4 linked regions of the Danio rerio genome follow. The protein of the gene in region 1 interacts with the protein of each later gene in a biochemical or structural test. Links are inferred from orthologs where the notes say so. Each region holds a gene or a part of one and is shown in the gene's direction. Other genes may lie near its edges.

Evidence for each region.
Region 2: the proteins of eps15 (region 1) and epn1a form a complex in vitro, tested with the Homo sapiens proteins (4 studies listed by BioGRID and IntAct, with this or other methods). The link is inferred for Danio rerio from reciprocal best matches to the Homo sapiens genes EPS15 and EPN1.
Region 3: the proteins of eps15 (region 1) and numb form a complex in vitro, tested with the Homo sapiens proteins (2 studies listed by BioGRID and IntAct, with this or other methods). The link is inferred for Danio rerio from reciprocal best matches to the Homo sapiens genes EPS15 and NUMB.
Region 4: the proteins of eps15 (region 1) and fcho1 form a complex in vitro, tested with the Homo sapiens proteins (2 studies listed by BioGRID). The link is inferred for Danio rerio from reciprocal best matches to the Homo sapiens genes EPS15 and FCHO1.

What each region holds. Positions count from the first base shown.
Region 1 is NC_133183.1:18,301,335-18,305,074, reverse strand, and holds part of eps15 (epidermal growth factor receptor substrate 15), read left to right. Parts: intron 1-98; coding exon 99-228; intron 229-1,162; coding exon 1,163-1,347; intron 1,348-3,740. UniProt on the Homo sapiens protein: Involved in cell growth regulation. May be involved in the regulation of mitogenic signals and control of cell proliferation. Involved in the internalization of ligand-inducible receptors of the receptor tyrosine kinase (RTK) type, in particular EGFR.
Region 2 is NC_133191.1:13,119,140-13,121,946, forward strand, and holds the end of epn1a (epsin-1), read left to right. Parts: intron 1-331; coding exon 332-583; intron 584-658; coding exon 659-1,128; 3' UTR 1,129-2,197; downstream 2,198-2,807. UniProt on the Homo sapiens protein: Binds to membranes enriched in phosphatidylinositol 4,5-bisphosphate (PtdIns(4,5)P2). Modifies membrane curvature and facilitates the formation of clathrin-coated invaginations. Regulates receptor-mediated endocytosis.
Region 3 is NC_133192.1:57,986,274-57,990,727, reverse strand, and holds the start of numb (protein numb homolog), read left to right. Parts: upstream 1-1,431; 5' UTR 1,432-1,665; intron 1,666-4,454. UniProt on the Homo sapiens protein: Regulates clathrin-mediated receptor endocytosis. Plays a role in the process of neurogenesis.
Region 4 is NC_133183.1:21,921,269-21,925,008, forward strand, and holds part of fcho1 (f-BAR domain only protein 1), read left to right. Parts: intron 1-1,173; coding exon 1,174-1,358; intron 1,359-3,097; coding exon 3,098-3,122; intron 3,123-3,209; coding exon 3,210-3,266; intron 3,267-3,740. UniProt on the Homo sapiens protein: Functions in an early step of clathrin-mediated endocytosis. Has both a membrane binding/bending activity and the ability to recruit proteins essential to the formation of functional clathrin-coated pits.

The sequences.
Region 1 (3,740 bases):
GAACGTAAAACAGAAGTCCAGTATTTCAGCTGAGTTGCCAACCATATGATTTAAATGGACCCGACTGCAGCCACTGAACTTTTTATTTTGCCTTTCAGTCTAATGGCAATGATCCATTTGACTCCAGTACAAACAAGAATTTATTCAAGGAGGACACCCAGTCAGATGTACCGCCAGCATTACCACCCAAAACAGGAACCCCAACCAGACCTCCACCTCCACCCCCAGGTAAAATGGATTTTATCTATTGATGCACTGACCTTTATTTCATGGCTGATTCGGGTTGACCATTTCTTTCTTTTTTATCTTTTTTTTCTTTTGCAAACAAATTTTCTGATGCAAATTATTACATTATTCATTTTTATTACATTTTTTTTCCTCCAAATCCTCATTTTATTCCTTATATATAATATATATATATATTAGTTTTTTTGTAAATATATTTGTTTACTTTCAATTTATTGCATTGCAAGTAAAATTATACTATTTTACTTTAGCTTTGTGAAATGATTTTACTTAAAAACATAAATGTATAAGGAACAGTAGAAATGCATAATAACAGTAAATTCATTCTGCCTGTTGGTGGAATAGGTATTGCCCATAGTACATTAAAAATAGATGTTTACTATAGCCTTTTTAGAGGTATTTACAAATGAAAATAATAAACATCCTTATCATTGTTTTCAACATATCAAGCCTCAAATAATCACCTAAATATGAGTTGTGATAGAAACCGTCCAAACACGTCATATTAGTACAGCATTTAATTAAATGTTAAAAACATCACACAGTCATTTAAGTATTGCAGTATCAAGTATTGCAAAGAAAATATTTGTTCAGTTTGTTAATGTTAATGTGCTTGGCTTGTAACATTAAAATCATTGCAGTGCCGATTTTATGCAAGTCATAACAGAGACTGGCTTATTTAAAGCGCAAATCAGCAGGTTGTCGATCAAAAGTTTCTAAAAAAAACTAAAAACAAATACAAAAAAAACCCAATTCCTTCATTTGATTTTTTGCCAGTTGATTGGTGCATGTCTAATCTGAACAAACCAGATTCCAGATTGACTTAATTGCTCAGTTCAGAAAATAATGGACCACAAGGCTCCATAACGTCACCTGTATTTGAGTGCTGTGTTGTCTCTATGTGTATGTGTTAAAGGTAAGCGGTCCAACATCCACCGATCGGAGTCGTCCGAGTCATTTCACCGCCGCGGTCTGTTCAAGGCCCAGGGATCAGCAGAGTTCTCCTCCCTTCCCGCTAAAGACTCGGTACCAGACCCCTTCGCCCCTTCCTCACCCCACCAAGCCCCGTGCGACCCCAACCGATTCGCCAGCTTTGACAAAGTGAGCTCCTCCCCCTCTCCCTCTCCTGACCCCCAGTAGTGACCCTGACATTTCACCTGCGCAATGCAGCAGCCTTGACCTCTCGACCCCTCATAGCCCGTTTGTTTTCCCGGAAGGCTCCTCGTCCAATATTTTGACGACTCTTGCTTTATGTGAAAGCCACAAAACTGTCACTGTTCCTGTTTTTTATTTTATTTTTTGTAAATACATATGAGCTTGTAATGAAAATATTTATCCAATAGCGAAACTGAATCAAGGCTAACGCTTCTACTAAAACAAAACCCCAGTGTTATTTAAACCTACTATTGTTATGACTTCGCAGTATTCCTAACATCACGCATATAAGTTCTCACTGGCTGTGGAAGGAGAGGTGGGGCTGCTTGCTATTGGCTGTTTTCAATTCATCCCCCTGTGCTCTTTTGTCATGTTCTCCACCATTGGTTGAGGCTTGCACGTTTATTGCCCTGTCGTACTTTTATTCACTGATTTGCCTTGCCTTGCACTGCACGAACTAATCACTGTGTCCACTTGTTCTGTTGGGCTGCTACTTCCCACACATTGGTTCTTGGTTCCATCTGCATCCCATCATTCATGCACCACCTTTTTTTATTTTTAGAAGACATACAGTATGTTTTGTTTTTATATATGCCAAATTCAATAATCAGCTAAGCTTATAACAGCACTTGTTGGCTCCTTTCTGTATTATTATTATTATTTTTTAAATTAAAACTTATCCATGTGAGCTCTCTTTATACGTTGATGCATCCAATAAATTAAGCCTTATGAAGGCGCAACTCTTTGCTAATGAAGAGACTTCAAGAGAGAGATGACTTCTTTTTGTTTTCATGATTTGTGTTGAAGTGCTTTCCAGCTAACTGTAGTGATTACTCTCTCGATCCATTGTTGTCTACACCTTTACTTCTGTGTGAAATACCTGCATGTTCATGATGGGCCGTATGAGCAATCCAGGCCTAGACATATGAGTGCATCAGACGAATAAAACATCAGACTAAAACATCAGCAATGAAATGAGTAATCATTAAGCATATTTCTTAAATTGGTGTTAAATTACTTTTTATTTTACGTCAAGTCTCATGTGTCTGCAGGCTTATGAGCTGATGTTAGCTGTGAAGCTCTATGGATTGCATCATGGCACACATCTTGTATCTCTCATCCTTCTGTGTCAGTAGCTGTAGCACATTAGTAATTTTTCCTTTTATGTTTCTAAATGTAACAGTTCTTGCATGTTGATCTTTGTGGGATTTTTTGTATGTCATCATTATACTTGAGACAGGTTTTTTTGAACGCTCAGTTCTACAGTAGATAATTCTCTTTTAAGTTATATTTTTTCGGTAGTCTACAGAACAAACCACCGGTATACAGTAACTTGCCTAATTACACTAACCTGCCTATTAAAACTAATTAAGCCTTTAAATGTCACTTTAAGCTGTATAGAAGTGTCTTGAAAAATATCTAGTAAAGTATTATTTACTGTCATCATGACAAAGATAAAATAAATCAGTTATTAGGGTTGTTATTACTTCAATTTCAACTGGATTTTATATACATATACAGTTGAAGTTAGAATTATTAGCCCCCCTGTTTATTTTTCCCCCAATTTCTGTTTAACGGAGGGAAGATTTTTTTCAACACAGTTCTATCATAATAGTTTTAATAATTCATTTCTAATAACTGATTTATTTTATCTTTGCCCTGATGACAGTAAATAATATTTGACTAGATACTCTTCAAGAAATTTCTATACAACTCAAAGTGACATTTAAAAGCTTAACTAGGTTAATTAGGTTTACTAGGCAGCTTAGGGTAATTAGGCAAGTTATTATATGATGATGATTTGTTCTGTAGACTATCGAAACAAAATATATCTTAAAGGCGCTAATAATTTTTACCTTAAAAATGGTTTTCAAAATATTTAAATATGCTTTTATTCTAGCCAAAATAAAACAAATAAGACTTTCTCAAGAAGAAAAAATATTATCAGACATACCGTGAAAATTTCTATCCTCTGTTAAACATCATTTGGGAAATATTTTCAAAAGAAAAAAAAAGTCAAAGGGGGGCTAATAATTCTGACTTTAACTGTATATACATACACACACATGTATGTATGTATGTATATATGGTTATATATTCCCTTTAAAATGCACTTTAAGATGAATACAAGCATAAAATAGCTAGAAAAATACTAAGTTATGCCATCAAAGCAAAGACAAAAGTTAGTTATTAAAAGTTAGTTATTAAATGGTTTTGTATTTAAAAGGTTAGAAAAATCATTCCAGTATAAATTACTTGGTAGAGTTTTTTATTATAATAAAATATAATATTTTTAATAACTAATAATTCAACTGTCTTCAACTGTATATAACAAAAAA
Region 2 (2,807 bases), on another chromosome or scaffold:
TTTAAAAAGTAATATTATTACGCAATATTCGTTACTTATATCGTGTTACCCCAACACTGCCTGTGAGTGGCCTCTGTGCCCACAAGTACAACCTCAAAAGAAAGGCTAAAGTAGCTTAGCACTACTACTAAAGTAGCTCGGAGGCAGAATTTTGATCATATACATAATTATTCAGATCTTATTTCAGTTTTAGGTGCTTTGATACAGTTGAATCTATTGTGGGTAATAATGTAGGGTTTAGCAAAGGATTGTTTGGACTGTAACCCCACCTCAGTTAAACAAATATGCTGTTTGCCTGTAATTGTTTTTTGCCATTTCCCCCCACACACAGCAGATCCAGAGAGAAGAGGTTCCTCAGTGACATGTGATGCAGGAGGAGGTGGCAGCACAGGCTCTCCTGTGCCCTTTGACCTTTCATCGATTGGTAGCTCTTTGCCTGTTCGGAAAACACCAGAGTCATTTTTGGGGCCCAACGCAGCACTGGTGGATTTGGACTCGCTAGTATCATCAAAACCCAAACCAAAACAACCACCCCCACCAAGCATCTCCTCCACATCTAACAACCCCTTCCTCCAGACACAGGGTGTGTTTTTAAAACAATTGAATAGAAATTGTGTTTGTTTGCTTTTCCCTCTAACATCTTTCTTTCCTCCATTAGGGCCTTCCTCAACAGGTATGGGAGTTACCCCAGGAAGTACCATTTCAAGTAGAGGAGTATCTCCGACCCCACCTTCTGCTTCTAATCCTTTTGGCGCGACCCCAATGGCATCAATCTCCCCTCAACCCTCTTCACTTGGTCTGAACCAGCTGCGTACAAGCCCCGTTCCCCCAAATCCCATGCTGGGTCACATGCCTCCGCCAGTAGTAGGAATGGTTCAGCCAGGAATGGGCATGCCAGGAATGGGGGTCCCTATGGCGGCCCCCGGTTTAAGCATGGGAATGGGCATGCCTTACGGTGGAATATCCCCTATGGGTCCAGGAGGAAACCCCTTGCTGATGGGTCCAGGAGGACCTGCGCAGCCTTCACTGATTTTGGGCGGGCCATCAGGAGTGGGCGGAGTAATGGGAACAGGGGGATCCATGGGAGGTGGAACCACAGGCACAAGCACCAATCCTTTCCTTCTTTGAGAGATTTCACCAATCCCACTGGCCCTGTGCACTCAACAACCAATCCGAACCTGCCCTACCAACACAAACAGTTTGTGTTCAACAAAAACAAATGTGTGTTCATCTCTATATTTAATGAAAAGTAAAAACAACAACGTGTTCTTTTCTGTCACAAACAGCATTTCAGTTTTGTTTTGTTCTTTTATTTCCCCCGTTTTATTTGACAGTATTTGAAGTCTATTTATTTCCCTATTGAGTTTTGGTTTCTTTGACAGACATGGATGATTGGTGGGTTCATTCAATGAATGCAGGCTGTTAATATTGTTATATTATTAAGATGATTGTTGTTGCTCAGAATCAGGAATATGAAGAAATGGGAGGAGGAAAACAAGCCACTAATGAACTTAATCACACACCCTGATTTCTCCCCCCCCTCCTTTCATTGATGATGGAAGAGCCGGTGGCCCTCTAAAGAAAGAGCGCATGAAGGATGTCTGACGGACTGGCCCTGAATGGATTCAGAAGGATTCGGCTGTCCGTTTTATTCACAACTCTAGTAAAAATCATTTGATAGATGTATTACTTTTAATTTAATTTAATGTGTAATCTTGTGTAATTTATTTTAATCGTATGTCTCTGACTCCTGGAAACGATTAAACCAAGGAAAATCGCACTGGAAATTGCCATTGAAACAGATGCCTGCTCGGTCTCTGGCCTGCAACATTTCAGTCCATACCGCATGGTTCATACACACATGAGGAGTGAGTGTGTTTATGTGAGAGAGTGTTTGACATGTCCAGTGTTTCACTTGGCCCACTGCTTTGCTTTTGATGGGGTAATCAGCATTGTCTTTATAAGAGTCCTAATTTTCAGCCACTTATTTTTGCAGTCGTGAAAAAAAAGAAAGAAAATCGAAGCATTAATTCAACACCTGTTCACTTGAGAAACAGCGCTTGTCTTTGCATTTCACTTCAGCACCTTTGTCCTTCTACATTCACACAGAAAACAGGAAAGTGTTAACGCTTTTGAAACTGAAAATTGTCTGAATGATTTTGTGAAATCAGATTATAAAAATGGGGACTGAATGATACGATCCATGCTGTTATCCTTTATTTACTTTCAAATTATTTTATATATATAAATATAAATATATATGAACATTTTAGAGATATTTCTCTAATATTGGCTATGGTCAAAAAGTGTGTGGTGTTGACTGTGAACATTCACATAAAAAAAATAAAATGGAGAAAAAAAATCAAAAGGAATTTAAGAAATAAAATAAAAATCCACAAAACAAAATTGTCCAAGCCTATTTTGTTGCATTGATTTGCTTTAAAATCATTAGTATTTCCTTTAATTGTTCTTTTAATTAATTGCTATGTGACAACATGTAATAAGCAATAGAATTCATTATTTCATAATACACAAATATATTGTCATAATACACTCACAGGCTACCTTATTAGGTACACCTGTCCAACTGCTCGTTAATGCAAATTTCAAATCAGCCAATTATATGGCAGCAAGCATTTAGGCATCAAGATGATCTGCTGCAGTTCAAACCGAGCATCAGAATGGAGAAGAAAGATGATTTAAGTGACTGAACGTGGCATGGTTGATTGAGCGCACAACCATCTCTAGGGTTTACAGCAGGGGTGTCAAACTCAATTGCTGGAGGGCCGAAGCCCTGCACAGTTTAG
Region 3 (4,454 bases), on another chromosome or scaffold:
TATTTAAAAAAATTAAACAGCTTCAGGGGTGTCATGGTGGCGCAGTGGGTAACACGATCACCTCACAGTAAGAAGGTTGCTGGTTTGAGCCCCAGCTGGGTCAGTTGGCGTTTCTGTGTGGAGTTTGCATGTTCTCCCCATGTTGGTGTGGGTTTCCTCCGGGTGCTCCGGTTTCCCCCACAGTCCAAACACATGCGCTATAGGGGAACTGATGAACTAAATTGGTCGTTCATGAGTGTGAATAAGTGTGTATGGATGTTTCCAGTGTTGGGTTGCAGCTGGAAGGGCATCCGCTGTATAAAACATATGCTAGATAAGTTGGCTATTAATTCCCCTGATTAATAAAGGGACTAAGCCAAAAAGAAAATGAATGAATGAATGAATGAATAAACAGCATCAAAAAACACACCTCAAACCCTTCCTAAAACCCACAACAACACAGGAGAAATAATCATACTATTAATAATAACTATAATCACAATAATAAAATACACTTGAACCTATATTTATGTTGTGTCATGTTCGCAATATGTACATTATGCTAACAGATTTTCCATTCATTTAAGTATTCATTCATTTCCTTGCTCTTCCAGACTGGGAAAATTTACTTACCCAGTACTGGGAAAAATTATAGATAATCTGATATCATAATAATCAAATATAATACAATTATTCAATAAATTAAAAATGTTAATATTGTATATTATTTTAAGTGTTGTTTAATGATTATGCAGTGTTTACAACCTCTTATTATTTGTGAGTCTTTCATTTTGCCTATAGGTAGAATTTATCCAATATTTCCATTGTTCATTCATTCATTCATTTTCTTTTCGGCTTAGTCCCTTTTAGAATTTTGCAATTCTCCACATCTTTGGACTTGTGGGGGAAACCGGAGCACCCGGAGGAAACCCACGCCAACACGGAGAAAACATGCAAACTCCACACAGAAACGCCAACTGACCCAGCTAAGGCTTAAACCAGCGACCTTCTTGCTGTGAGGCGACAGCAATTAATTAATTCATTTTCTTGTCGGCTTAATCCCTTTATTTATGCGGCCTTCCAGCCGCAACCCATGTATGGGAAACAAATATAATACAATTATTCAATGAATTACAAATGTTAATACTGTATGCTATTTTGATTATTGTTTAATGATTATGCAGTGTTTATAACCTCTTATTAACTGCGAACATTTCATTTAGCCTATAGAATTTATCACATATTTCTATTGTTACCCTTTTAATTTCTTATATAATTTAGTATTTCATTAAATATTTAATATAATTTATACTTAACCTGTACAGCAACAGGCTTGACGTACACTTTCCTTAGATTCCTACACTCACGCATAAGTAATGTTGTGAAGTCGAAGCTCCTCCCATGCTGATTGTTTGTGTTGTGAATAATTAATGAGCGCTCGTGTCAGTCTGTGACCCCGCCCAGCGCAGAATCCGGGCGGCTGAACCCCGGCGAGCAGTCACTCAGGAACGACACACACACATAAGGAGACATACAGACACACGGGATTTCCAGCAGGACCGAGACATACTTTGGGGAATATAATATTTCATTTCAGCGCTCGTGTAAATCTCTGAACCCTTCCTGGCCGGGTTCACTAACATCTGTGTGGATACGAGCAGTTCGTCTGACCCGCCGCTTGAACAGGTGAGTCGATTCACCTCTACCTGTCCATCTGAACGAATCGTGTCGATCATGCTGTGATAGTAATGTAGCTGCTGGTTATTATGACGACCGATGTTGATGTTGTTGTTAGCCAGCTAACGAGTTAGCTGACTGTTTGACTTTGAGTTCAAAACGTAGCATCCGGCTAAGTCATCTGCTAGCCAGCGACAAGCCTAATAAATTCACTCAAGCTGATGACTTGTGTGAATAAAACATTGAGACCACGATATTGTGTGTTTAATGTCAAGGGTTTGGCTTTGGTTAACCGGTTTAGCGGTTAGGTTTGTTTGTAGAAGAGTTGCTAGCGGCTAGCCGGTTAGCAGCTCACCTGCCACTGATTCACAAACCTTAAACACTACAGACAGCAGTACAGTGGCCAGCTCTCGTGTATTCTGTCTTTATGGGCATCAGAGAAAAGGAAAATCTCTATGTTATCAGCTATTATTTAGCTATTGACGTGTACTTGACTGTGTTTTCATCTGCTGGGCATGGTTAGCTGGTATATTCTGCAGTTATTCGACTTAAGACAGAAGAAGGTGACATAAGTTTCTTGAGGTATGTCAACTTCATTTGTCTTATGCATATTTGTGTTTCTTTTAAATGTCAATTTGCTGTCACACAACTTTATCCCAGTGACTGTGAACTGTGTTTGTAGCAGTCACAGACTCCAGAATGATGCTTTGGATAATAGTGAACAGTCAGTAATGATTATATTCAAGATTACATAACAACAAATCAGTCTGAGTCACATATTTCCCATACCAGCATCATGGGTGATACCAGAAGATTGAGGTTAAGTATATTCGCACATTCAGACTTCTCCCAAATAATATAATTTCAGAAAAGGGTGCAATTTCTGCATGGGGAAATCGTACAAGCAGCCAATGACTGTCAAAGTACACCATTGTTCACGGTCAGTTAAAATGTGCTTATGTTGTTTTGAAGTCATACTTGCATGCTATTTCAGAACGAATATTTGGTGTCGCATGGTCAACAATATGTAGAGATAAAGTTGGTTTTATGTTCGCACATTCGTTCGTTTTAACAGTCTCTATATTGTTTACCATGTTACTTTGAATATTCGGAATTAGCATGCAAGCATGACTTCAAAACAACATTAACACTATCTGATTCACTGTGAACAATGCTGTACTTTGATAGTCATTTGCTGCTAATATGATTTCCCTATTTACAATTTGCAAAGAAGACTTTTCTGAAATTATATTAAGGAGAACGTCTGAATATCCGAATATAAAACCAGCTTTACCTCTATAAACAATATAGGGACCTTTGAAATAAATGAATGTGCAAACATTTGTGAGGAGTGAAATGGACATTTTGTGGTTTGGTTAAAAGTCTGTCAAAATGCCTGTCTTGATGTGTTTATCTTGTCTAATTATGTCTTAAATGAGCACAAACTGTTTAGAAAGTCATTTAGGGCTGTACATTTTGATATTTTTGCTTTTAAACTATAGAAACTTATAAGATATAATAAAATAAAAATAGTCTAGGGCAGCATGGTGGCGCAGTGGGTAGACCGTTCACCTCACAGCAACAAGGTTGCTGGTTTGAACCTCGGCTGGGTCAGTTGGCATTTCTGTGTGGAGTTTGCATGTTCTTCCCGTGTTTGTGTGGATTTCCTCCGGGTGCTCTGGTTTCACCCAGACCAAACACATGCGCTATAGGGGAATTGGGTAAGCTTAATTGTCCATAGTGTATGAGTGTGAATGGATGAGTCTCAGAGATGGGTTGCAGCTGGAAGGGCATCCGCTGCGTAAAACATATGCTGGATAAGTATGTATATATATATATGTATATATATATATATGTATATATATATATATATATATATATATATATATATGTATATATATATATATATATATATATATGTATATATATATATATATGTATATATATATATATATATATATATATATATATATATATATATATATATATATATATATATATATATATATATATATATATATATGTATATGTATATATATATATATATATGTATATATATATATATATATATATATATATATATATATATATATATATGTATATATATATATATATATATATATATATTTTTTTTTTTTTTTTACGTGCATTTTGTATTTTGGAAATGCCAAGATGTGCATAGATTTACAAATCTGCATAAACAACTTAAGAAATAAGTAAAAATGTGCATAAACTATGATGCAAACACATTTACAAATTAAATTCCAGCATTGGCATCAGTAAAGTGATGTGATTTAGTTTGAACAGTTGATGAAGATGTGTGTGATGGGATGCATTAATGGGCACAGCAGCATTTTGAGCACATTGTACAGCCGGAATGTCAAACTCAATTCCTGGAGGGCCGCAGCTCTGCACAGTTTAGTTCCAACACTGATTAAACACACCTGATCAAACTAATTGAGTCCTTCAGGCTTGTTTGAAACCTACGGGTAAGTGTGTTGGAGCAGGGTTGGAACTAAACTGTGCAAGGTTGTGGCCCTCCAGGAATTGAGTTTGACACCCCTGTTGTAAAGCATCTGAAATGTTGTTTTGCTGATTGTAAAATGCCGCAGTCATCACAGTGCTTTGGTATTCTTCTTTTTCTGTTATTATTTCCTTTAGAACTGTCTTGAGCATCTGTCTGAGCTCCCAATAAGCGTCTCATGCCTCCAAAAGCCACCGCATTGACTGTGTTCATTGCATTTCGTCTTCATCTTCTGAGGCGCAACTCATTTATTCGAGACGAATAAACACCACAG
Region 4 (3,740 bases), about 3.6 Mb from region 1:
CAAGACATCGGCGAGCGAATCAAGGCAAAGGCAGGAGCAGCTCGACTAGTGTATTCAGCTCTAAACTCCATTGTGTTATAAATATGATTGTGGATGTTTTTACTATAATAAGTTCATTATAAAACGTTAAAAATTAATCCACGTCATGTTTTATTACGTTTAAAGCAACGTCTTCTAGTTATTTTTAAAAAATATGCAAATTTAATTTAATACAGTTTGATATCTTTAACTTTGGCCCACAGCTCTCAATCAAGTTTGATTTTTGGCCCTTTATAAGACGAAGTTTGGGCACCTTACAAACTTTGCTCTCTTACTGGCTGTAGGTCATCGCTGATGTTATTTTCAGTCAGAACACATTTCACACGGCATGATTTGAGTCGTTGACAGCACCAGATATTTTGGATGCCAAATAGCTGACAGGCGTTGGCGACTCATCGGCAATTCTTTCAGATCGCGCCTTTGATAGTTCATACTGTGTGATTGTTACTCATGTGAACAGAGCACTGATTTGCCTGTGATTTCAGTCATTTGTCGACGATTTCTCAAAACCTGTCGGCGAGTCAAAATTGGGGCTAAAATCATGCAGTGTGAACTCGGAATTATTTGATTCTTAACCTGGCTTTTTGAGGATGTTTGAAGGCTGGAAATTCAACACCACAACAAATAGTTTTGTAAAAACAGATTTTCACTCACATACACATATACTGGTCTATAAGCTTTTTGAAAATATTTTTTTATCTGCCCTCCTTTTTACACAGTGTCAAAGGTATTACAGACACACAGAGGATGTTATTTTCGGGAAATGTGGTTTAGTAAAGCAGGATGTGAAACAGAGACTCTTACATTGTCTGATAATAAACAGTGATGGATACACAGCCCACTGCATCATTTCTATTTGTCTGATGAAGATGTCACTTATAGGCTCCCGATTAATTGACTTCATCATGAGCCATTTTAAAGCATATGACACTCTATAGGGTCTCTAAATACGATGTCTATTTCTACACTTGTTGTTTCTAGACTATTCATAACAGCTGTGTTTGTGTAAATGTTTACACTCGTGTCTATTTGTGTCTTAGCCAGTGTTTTCTAGTGTTCACCTGTCCCTCTTTGCATCTGTGTGTGAGTGCATGTGTGTGTCTTGATTTCCTCCTTAACACCGTTGCTCTCTACGTTGTGCTGCTGAGGAGAAGGAGGGAAACTTTTACTCCAGTGACTCGGATTTCGATGACGAAGAACCCAAGAAGTTTCACATCCAGATCCGCCCGGTCGCCAGCAGCAACCGCAGCAACTCAGCAGCCAATGAGCAGGAGCTGAAGGCCACAGTGGGGGCGTTGACTCTGCCCCCAAACAGAGTGGTAAGAGATTTAACAGCCCAAATCAAGAGTGATGCGAATCATTTATTCATTTTTACCGAAAATTGCTCAACATATCAGTGCTTAAGTTTACAAAATGTCTCATAAATAGAAGGGTACAGTATGTAACTGATTACAGTAAACCAAAAATAATTAAGATGCGAGAGTGTATAGGTGTTTCCCCTTACTGGGTTGCAGCCGGAAGGACATCCGCTGCGTAAAACATGTGGCGGAATAGTTGGCGGTTTATTCTGTTGTGGCAACACCTGATGAATAACAGACTGGGTTGAGGAAAAATGAATGAATATTGCACTCGTTGTTTGTGTAATATTGCTTATTATATTATATAATATAAATATGAAACAAAAACTGATATGGAACAAGTTGGTTAAGATTACATGTTGATTGAGATCACAGGACTTGTCGAATAATACTGTCATTGTCTCTGTAATCTCTCATTTTGGTTTCAGAATAAATGAATCATTTTACATATGCCAATTAATTTGTTTTCCACATAACAAGGCAAACAAACCACTCTAATGTGATTCTTTGGTTTCAGTTAGAGTGCACATGATGTTTCTGGCTCCTCTGTAAACAAAGACATGTTTACTAAGTTCTAGGCTCCTAAAATGAGCTCTTTTGAGGAAAAACAGATCACTGTGCTTGTCAGCGGTTGTGATCTTTACTTTGATAAGAACTTAAAATCTTGGTTGTGTTTTATGTCTATTTAATGCTGAAACCTTTAATTGAACAGCATTTTAAAACATAATTAAAGCAAAATGAAGTCATGGACCATTGTGATTTTATTTTATTTTATTTATTTATTTATTGTCACAAAATGTATGAATTTTATATTTACTTGATTATTTTTAATGTGTTTTAAAAGTTTTTTTTTATAATATTTTCTGCGTTTTTGTCATTCATTTACACAACTATTATTTATAGACATAAAAAGGATTTCAAGGGCAGGTTCTTAAAAATGACACTATTATTTTATTTATTGTAACCTTCAAAAGCAGAATTTATGAAAATAGTTATGTCACATGCATGCATATTACGTTCAGTCTATAATCACACACATGCACTTGACAACTAAAGCTTCAGTGGTGATGAATACTGTACTGTTTAATAGGCAATATACACAGCTGGTGTTTTTCCCATACCGATAAACTTCCAGTGAATAGTTAATGTGCCTTTTTTAAATTTAATACAGTTCCTTTTACAGCATAGATGTTGTAATATAATTAAATATATTATCAGTTAAATAGACCTTTTACATGCATACCCCGCCAGGATCAGCAGGATAGCACAGAAACTCAATTGAAAATATTGGGGTAAAATAAATGTTCATATTTTAAAGACATGGTGCGGAAAAATGTAATTTAATGCAGTGCTTCTTGCATATTCTAAGACCCACTTTACATAGCATATTAATCAGGCTGTAAAGATCTTTGATTTTTAAAGAAATAGACCTTAAACGTGGTGATTTTGTAACAGCATACATTTCACCAGTAGCGTTTGACCCAGGTTACTGAAAAATTAAAAGTCCTTCTGCGTATATCCTTTTTCAAAGTGACAACTACATGTCTGTCATATATAATAGAGCGCTTGTAGGTGTTTTTAGTTGTTTTGACAACATTGTCATCAATACAGTATTACTTCTTATTTTTAAAGTGTCACAGCAAATATGATGCATGGCTTTAACACAAACCTGTCATTGTTTGATTCATCTAATCCTGTAGGTGTCAGTAAAGAAGCAGCTCTCTCGTGAGTTCACTTTCATTCCTCTCTATGACCATATTCTGCATATATGTTAGTGGGGCTCTTTTTCATGCATATATTCTCCTGAAACAGGAAATTCGAGTTCAGCAGGTCGATCTGAAGGGGAAGGGGAAAGTGTTCCCCAGAGAGGTCAGTCACACGCCGCAGACGCTCATTTCTGCACTCCGACTGCTAGAGTTACACCATAAAGCATCAATTTTTCAGTACTCACGCATTGTTCCTGTGAGTAAGCCGTCTCCAATGGCCACTGTCTCCCACCTCCTCCTCTGTCCACATTAATAGATGTCAATATCCCACAACACACATCTCCGACTGACACCTTAATCACAGCAATCTGCCATCCAGCTGACCTGGGATCAGTATCCTAACTGCTCTGTCATTATTGCCTTAAATTGACAGACTGATCTCAGGTCCGCGGAATTGCTGTAATTACAGCCTCAGAATTGGTTCTATTTTTGCATCAGGGGTTTTTGACAGTAATAGCAAAAGTGGAAGTGTGTGCATGTGTGTATGTTGTTTTTGGAGAAAGAGGTTTAGGCTTAGTCTTCCCTCACTGGCTCATTACTCAAAACTGCTTAATTGCAGAGATTAGTCACATAGATG